2 linked regions of the Danio rerio genome follow. The protein of the gene in region 1 purifies or fractionates together with the protein of each later gene. This does not show direct contact. Links are inferred from orthologs where the notes say so. Each region holds a gene or a part of one and is shown on either strand. Other genes may lie near its edges. The genes, in order: spast and nup107.

Evidence for each region.
Region 2: the proteins of spast (region 1) and nup107 purify together in Homo sapiens (affinity purification with mass spectrometry; 3 studies listed by BioGRID and IntAct, counting the BioPlex papers as one, with this or other methods). This does not show direct contact. The link is inferred for Danio rerio from reciprocal best matches to the Homo sapiens genes SPAST and NUP107.

The regions. Positions count from the first base shown.
Region 1 is NC_133176.1:54,347,507-54,351,337, forward strand, and holds part of spast (spastin), read right to left. Parts: exon of another isoform or gene 3,530-3,831; intron 3,322-3,529; exon of another isoform or gene 3,019-3,321; coding exon of another isoform or gene 2,949-3,018; coding exon 2,782-2,948; intron 2,699-2,781; coding exon 2,559-2,698; intron 1,959-2,558; coding exon 1,865-1,958; intron 945-1,864; coding exon 870-944; intron 779-869; coding exon 707-778; intron 1-706. UniProt on the Homo sapiens protein: ATP-dependent microtubule severing protein that specifically recognizes and cuts microtubules that are polyglutamylated.
Region 2 is NC_133179.1:23,346,840-23,351,148, forward strand, and holds the start of nup107 (nuclear pore complex protein Nup107), read right to left. Parts: upstream 3,091-4,309; 5' UTR 3,003-3,090; coding exon 2,995-3,002; intron 2,180-2,994; coding exon 2,094-2,179; intron 1,983-2,093; coding exon 1,890-1,982; intron 749-1,889; coding exon 636-748; intron 102-635; coding exon 1-101. UniProt on the Homo sapiens protein: Plays a role in the nuclear pore complex (NPC) assembly and/or maintenance. Required for the assembly of peripheral proteins into the NPC. May anchor NUP62 to the NPC. Involved in nephrogenesis.

The sequences.
Region 1 (3,831 bases):
GCTCATTGAAACGTTCAGATTAGCATGTTTCTGTAACCTTCACCAGCCTTGTACCTTAAGTCCATCCTGTCTCGGAGATCTACAGACAATTCCTTTGTCTTCAAGCTTGGTTTGTGATTTGACATGCACTGTCAACCCTGGGACCTTATATAGACAGGTGTATACCTTTTCAAATCATGTCCAATCAACAGAATTTACCACAGGTGAACTCCAGTTAAGCTGCTGAAACATCTGAAGAATGATCAGTGGAAACAAAATGTACCTGAGCTCAATTTAGAGCTTCACAGCAAAGGCTGTCAATACTTATGTAAATGCCATGTGATTTTTCAGGTTTTTTATTTTAATAAACAGGTAAAAACTGAAACCTGTACGCCGATCTGATCGAAGCCATGTGATCCTTATGAATAATAATATGGTATTATTCAGATCACTCCCAAGCAAAGCACCATTACATTTTTGAAACCTTTTAAAACAGAAGTTACAAATCAAAGCCCTGTTTTCTGAAATCACATGACCATGCCGATTTGATACGCACCATGAGACCAATTTGATTTGAAACAGTTCGAAAAGATTCATAAAGCTTTGAAAGCTACATGAAGCAGTGTTTCGAAATCAGCCATCACCAAATATGCCAATCTTCTCTAGAGAAATAAATCACATTAGTCAACTGTATGTGGTCTCTATGCAACATCTGATGAATACTCACATATTTGGAGGTGAGAGTGGCAGCGCTGATGTTGAAGAAAGTAGCATTCGATTCCATTGCGACGGCTTTCGCCTATAAGGAAATTGAGAAGTTCAATTATTGTTCTGAGCTATGGCATACAAATATACACAAATGTACAAACTATATATTATTGGAGTTTTACCAGCATGGTTTTCCCATTACCAGGAGGGCCGAAGAGCAGGAGTCCTCTAGCTGGAGCCCGGAGACCAGTAAACAACTGAGGAGATCCACATAAAAGTCAATAAAAACCTTTTCACTCAATGTTCCTCGCTGATGGAACAATCTTCCCATTCCCATAGGGACTCCTGATTCATTAGTATCATTCAAACAACAACTAAAAACCCCACCACACCACATGACATCCTCAAAACATTATGCAATTCTGAGCGTGCCTCACACAGGTGAGGGGCTTGACAAACCACCTGTAGAAAACACACCCTTTCATCTCTCTGACACTTTAACAAACAATTGCACCAGTTTTGCACAAGACACTTTCTTATGACCACACATCTTAAAAAACAAAACAAAAAAACACTACATTTATGAAGTGAGCTTTGCACTGGTGAGTGGGCTTGACAAACCACCTGTAAAAACACACTTTGCTCTCTCTTTAAAACAAAAAACACTCCCCCTTTCTAACTCTAGCACTTAATTCTCTGAGAACTAACAATTATTTGTATAACTAGCACTTGTTGATTTGTATTGCCTCGACCTGTTGAATCACTGAATGCCTCCTCAATTGCAAGTCGCTTTAGACAAAAGTGTCTGCTAAATGACTAAATGGCTAAATGACGTAAAATTATAAATGCAACAATGCCAGTAATCCCAGTTTTGTAGAACATGCTTAATTGGTTCAACACTGTGGATAATCCCTCATATTGGGTTTAAAGTGGTCATTTTGTAAATTTTATCCATCACAAATGAATATATCTGAATACAGAATGAGCATAATCCAACAGTTGCCTGTCCTACAGATGCTCAAAGAGTTTGGAGCAACTTGAGGGTGTGTAAATGAAGACAGATTTTTCATTTTGGATGAATTATCCCTGTAAATCAGATTTGTTGGAAAGGGGCTCAGATCTTTAATAACTCCAGCAGCTCGAGGCTGTACAGATGTTGAGAGATGTGAAAACAGACCTCTGGACGTAGGGCAGGCAGGATGACGATTTCCTGCAGCGCCTGCTTGGCCAAATCCTGTCCTGCTATATCATCAAACCTCACCACAGACCCGCTGAAACACACACACACACACACACAACAACACAAAACATCAGCTTCAACGTGAAAACTCTTAATTTTTTTCCACCACATAATTTTGTGATATTTGTCACATGATCCAACAGAAACTAACATTATTATCACGGTTTGTCAAAGAGTATTTATTTGCTTGTTATTTTTAGGGGAAAAACTACTATTAGAAAATTTGGGGTAAAAAATATTAGTAAAAATATTAAGCAGTTAACTTAATACATAAAATAAATGTTTGGAATATGCACCCAAACATTGCTAATTAAAATAATTTTATATTTAAATACATTATTCTAGAAGAAAGCAGTTTAAAATCAATATTATAAAGGATTATTTTAATTTTGCACGGAAAAAGAAATATACAATACATAAACATGACTTTATGTAGAAGAAACGACTAATATTTTTTTATTTTAATATACTTAACATTTAAAGTAATCAACTATAGCACTAAAACAATAATGCATTGTAATAAACTGCAATATGCACCTAAACCTAAATATTGATTATACAAATCAATACTTGAATCTGTATTAAAACATAGCAAGATTCAACACTTAAATATTAATGTTTCTAACTCTACCTGTCCACGATCTCGTTGAGGATGAGGCTTGCCAGTTTGCTGTCCACATTTTTGAAGTTCTTCATGTCTCTTTTCCTTTGAGGTGACGCAGTGGCAGTGGTACTGGCTTTAACATTATTTTTGCCTTTGACTGTGGGCCCCTAAAAAAACAAAACACAATAACACAGTTCACACTGAGCTCCCTGTATAGACAGAATGTGAAGTCGGACCCTGTGAGACAAACCTTCTGATTGTTTTGAGGGCCGGTCCTGCTGCTCTGAGCTGCTGAGGGAGTGCAGTTCAGACCTGATGCATTCGGGGTAGATTTGGGAGGATTTTTGGGCCGCAGAGAAGTTTGATTTGTGATTGTGAGAGTGTCCTTCTTCTTGGAGACTGCTCCACTGGCTGGAGCTACAAAAAAACACATTAAACATTCAAAGACATGTTCATAGACGATATAATTTTTTTTGGTAATCTGCATTGGTTACTTAAAAAAACAAAAACAATGAACTTTTATAGAAGTGCTACTTCTATAAAATAGAAGTGCTGATATTAAATATATTTATGGTTATCTGTAACAGTCAATAAAAAAATATGATGTAAATTCATAGAAATGTCACTAGAATAGGGGTTGACTGATTATCGGTGCCGATATTGAACATATTTATGGTTATATCTATCTGTCAATTTAAAAACATAATGTCCTTTCATAGGAATGTCATTATAGAATAGGGGTTGACTGATTATCGGTGCCGATTTTAAACATATTTATGGTTATATCTATCTGTCAATTTAAAAACATAATGTACTTTCCTAGGAATGTCATTATAGAATAGGGGTTGACTGATTATCGGTGCCGATTTTAAACATATTTATGGTTATATCTATCTGTCAATTTAAAAACATAATGTACTTTCCTAGGAATGTCATTATAGAATAGGAATTGACTGATTATCGGTGCCGATATTAAACATATTTATGGTTATATCTACTTGTCAATTTAAAAACATAATGTACTTTCATAGGAATGTCATAATAGAATAGGGGTTGGCTGATTATTGGTGCCGATTTTAAACATATTTATGTTTATCTGTATCATCAATTTAAAAATCAGATGTACACTCATAAAAATGTTACCCTAGAATAGCTGTGTTGAGCAATTATCAGTGCTGATATAGTTATCTGTATTGGTCAATGAAAAAACCATGATGTAAGTTCATAGAATTGTCACTCTAGGATAGAGGTTCACTGATTATCGGTGCCGATATTCAACATTTTTATGGTAATCTGTATT
Region 2 (4,309 bases), on another chromosome or scaffold:
ATCAGAGCACTCATGCTAACGTCGTCAGTAAAGCTTGTGTCCACTATTCCTGATAGAGGAGATGGGTAAAGACTGTTCGTCCAGTCACTGTCATCCAAGTTCTGGAGAGCAAACAAACAACAGCAGCACACAAAAATGTTACTAACACCAACTAAATTTGCAGTCAAAGGCTAAATTATTAGCCCTCCTTTATTTTTTTTTTATATTTCCCAAGAGATGTTTAATAGAGATTTTTTCTATTATATATATATTTTTCTGGTTTACTTTAGTTTGACTGGAAGAAAACCTTAGGTCAATATTATTAGCCACCTTGAAAATGATTTATAAAATTGCATTGCCTTGAAATTGGACTCTGATTGAAATTACTCTGATTACTAGTATCTCACAAAAGAACTAGTCAAGTATGATGTAATGTCATCGCAGCAAAGACCAAATAAATTAGTTATAAAATATTTACGATTAAAACTACTGTTTAAAATGTGTTGGAAAAAATGTCTCTATTAAACATCACTTGGGAAATAATTGAAAAAAATAATACAAATCTAACAGGAGGGATAATCATTTCATCTTGATCTGTACATAGACTGTACAGAGGGATAAAGGATGTTATGTTTGTACAAACAGAGGTCACTCACCATGCTCAGGCCGCCTTTGGTACGAGGTGTGTTTACGAAGCGAGGGGTTCTGCTTCCTGAGGTCCCGAGGATGGCAGACACATCGGGATTCCTAAGGGCACTTCTTGGGGTGACTGTAATAATAGTTTTTAAAAAGCATATAAATACAGCATGCTCTTCACAAAATATAAGAGTAAATACACTTAAACTTAACCAGAATAAACATTTTCAAACTTTTAGATTAGATACAAAGATAAATAAATGTGACTCGCAGCATTATAAAAAATTTAAGCTAAAAATACCAATGCATAAACTTTTTATCATTCAGCTGACTATAAAACTTTAGAGAGTATCATTTGTTTATTTTCTATTTCTTTTATTTAAATGGTCTGTATCTGTTTTTTTTTAGTTACACCCTTAAAAAGGCAGGTACACATTTTGATGTACTGTATATGTGTTTATGTAAAGCACTTTGAATTGCCATTGTGTATGAAATGTGCTATATAAATAAACTTGCCTTGCCTTGCCTATATAGTGTACTGCATATATCTAATTTGTGATCATTTAATTTAGAAAATAAGATTAAAATGTTTTTTTAGACCGAATCAAATTACAATAGTTTGACTATGTCTTGCATGCAGTAATATTCATTTTGGATTATAGATCACATCTTATTTACTTCCAATTTGAAGCTCACTGCTATTTTTTCCCAAGAGCACAGTGCAGTTGAAGTTATTATCCCTCTTGTGAAACTTGAATTATTTCTCAAAGTGCTGTTTAACAGAAACTAGATTTTTTCCCCAACACATTTAAAAACAAAACAGATTTAATAATTAATTTCTAATAATTAAATTATTTTGTCTTTGCCATGATGACAGTACATCATATTTTCCCAGCTATTTTAAAGTGCAACTTAATAGTGAGGTTTAAACTAGGTTAATTAGTTTACCTAGACAATTTTGGTAAATTAAGCAAGTCATTGGACAACAGTTGTTTGTACAGCGGTCACCCAACTGATAACAAAACTAAAGGGGGGCTAATAATATCGACCTCAGCAGATTTTAAAGTTTTTTATTTTTATATTTCAGAAAAACTAAAAGAAATAATGCTTTCCGCAAAATAAAAATAAAAAAATTATAGGAAATACTGTGCAAAATGTTCTTGCTGTTAAAAATCATTTGGGAAATATATGAAAAAGAACACCAATTTCACAGGAGGGCTAATAATTCTGTCTTTATAGTTCATAGTGTACGTGTGCAGTATGTGTTTACTTACATGTCTGTTTAAGGCGAGGTCCAGGTGTTTGGCGCAGGAGAGGTCGAGCAGGGGTCGTGCTGGTGCCAGGAGAGTCATCCTGTGCCAACGGGACTGAACTCAAGAGTAAAGGGATAATAACATCCTTCCTACATGCTTATAACAATTTTTTTAGTGAGGATCATGGAGATACAGATAGTGTTATTTGTAATCTTAAAAGGATACAAGCAACTTTTTTGTGAGAACTCTTTCTGCGGGCCGCACGGGTCACCTCAGCGTCCCGAACCACTGGACTCAACCAAGTCTGACTCCTGCACAAGAATAAACACATTTTACATCCTACACATCATAACATCTTTAGTGCTGCAGAAGAAAAAATGAACAGTGTTAGGCTGGATGAACAACTTTCCTGGCCTTAATATTTTTTACCACCCATTATTAACAAAAATAAAAAACAACCAAACAAAATAAAAAAATAAATAAAAAAATAAACAAATAAATACTTGTATAAAGAATGACTCGAGGTGAGGAATTTTTGGGTTTTATAGAGGTAAAGTTGGTTTTATATTCTTCCTAATAATATCATTTCAGAAATTATATTATTCTGAATTGGCAAATCATATTAGTAGCCAACGATTATCCAAGTATCTGTATATAATGTTCATAGTACATCTGTTTGCAAATATTACCAATAGTTTTCTATAATTCCACTTATAACTTATACCTAAATCCTCCACTTGCTCCTGTTGCACTCCTTGTTAGACCTAACCTATATAATGTCTTGTACATGTGTAATGACAATGAAGTTCAATATAATCTAACCTAAAAACTGCCAGAACAAAGAGCGCTAACAAATGAGTACTCTTATGTGGCCTAAAACGGTGCATTTAAGCTATAATAGCATTATGTTCTAATTAATTTAAAAAATGAAACACAATATAAGTGATAAAAAATAAAATATGCTCTTTTCTGTCATGTGTTTTTATAGTCAAACTATTCAACTGACATGTGGAGCGGTTCTCTATACAGTAACTACATCCGGGTATGGCAGAAAGGCTATATAGCAACCAAAATAATCCAACGCCATTCGTAAACAACCAAAACAATAATAAAATGTAATCTTTACCATTCCATATTGTCAATATGTTCCTATCTGCTAGCCAAAGCTGCTAGCACACGGTTTGAGCGCCTTCACTTCTGAGGTTATTTCTTCATCTGTGCCGTTCATGTCTTTGTGTGAATCACACTGCCCTCTAAGGGAGTAGCTGAACGATTACTGCACCACTAAAGCCTGTCAGGCACTGCCATCTACTGGATACAGGAAAAATTTCATGCAAATCAAAATATCTTATTTGTTCTATAATCATTTTAAATGTATGCGATTTTGGGATAACATTTATTCCTAATTATCCTGTAATAATATAAGACTTTTCGAGCATATTTGTAGCCTTAGCCAATTCAAAACGTATATATTGCTTTATTAAACGCACGCGACGTGTAAGGGATTATTTTTTAATTTGTACAATAAATTAAAATGTCACGTCTCATGAGTGGTATTCGGGGGATGTTTGAAGGATTTTCCGTACAAATGTCACGTAGTTATTAACGTCTACGTTAATGTCAGGTTATTGCTCATAATAATTCGATACATAGAAGGATGAACGGAGATAACGTAACATGAGTTTATCAATTTTACTGCAGTCGTGACATACCAAGATATGTGGCCCAGTTCAGGCCCAGCTATAAGCTGTTAACTTGGCTGAGACTTGGCCCAAATGGTCCATATTTGGCCAGACTTTGTCCCGTTGTGCACCGCATTTCACTGCAGCATGTGGGCCAGGCAAAAGCTGATTGTGTGGGCCAGAGAATGTTTGCCATGTGGGTAAGAATAACAACACAAAATCAACAGTTGTCCTTCTAAATCTAGTGTTTGCCAAAGTATTGCTTATTTTATACATGCTTGAGGTTGTATAAGATGAACTTACTGTAATGCTTCGAAGCTTCTCTTCGTGATCTAAAACCTGAAAATACATGCATCTTAATGTTTCATCTCATAATGAAAATGCATCAGACAAAAATAATTGTGAGTTTGCAAAGTGGGCCGCTCTATTGTCAAGATATTGAAATTTCGAAGAATTTCAGAATGGATATAAGATTGTAATGGATTTTAATGACAAAGAAAGAAAACTTATTAATTCCAATATATAATTGTTTTCCATAAATGTTCTTCTCAATTTAAAACACATAATTTAGTACAATCACTAATTATTTTATAAAGTTTAATAAGCACTGGTCAGAAAAAGAACTTTGTTTAATTGTTACACAAATATCAGTATGCTTAATGCCAATGGGACACTATTTCACCCATATTTTATTTTGACAAAATTATATTACACACTTTGCTTGACATCATCTCAGCAGGCACACATGGGTTGGATTTA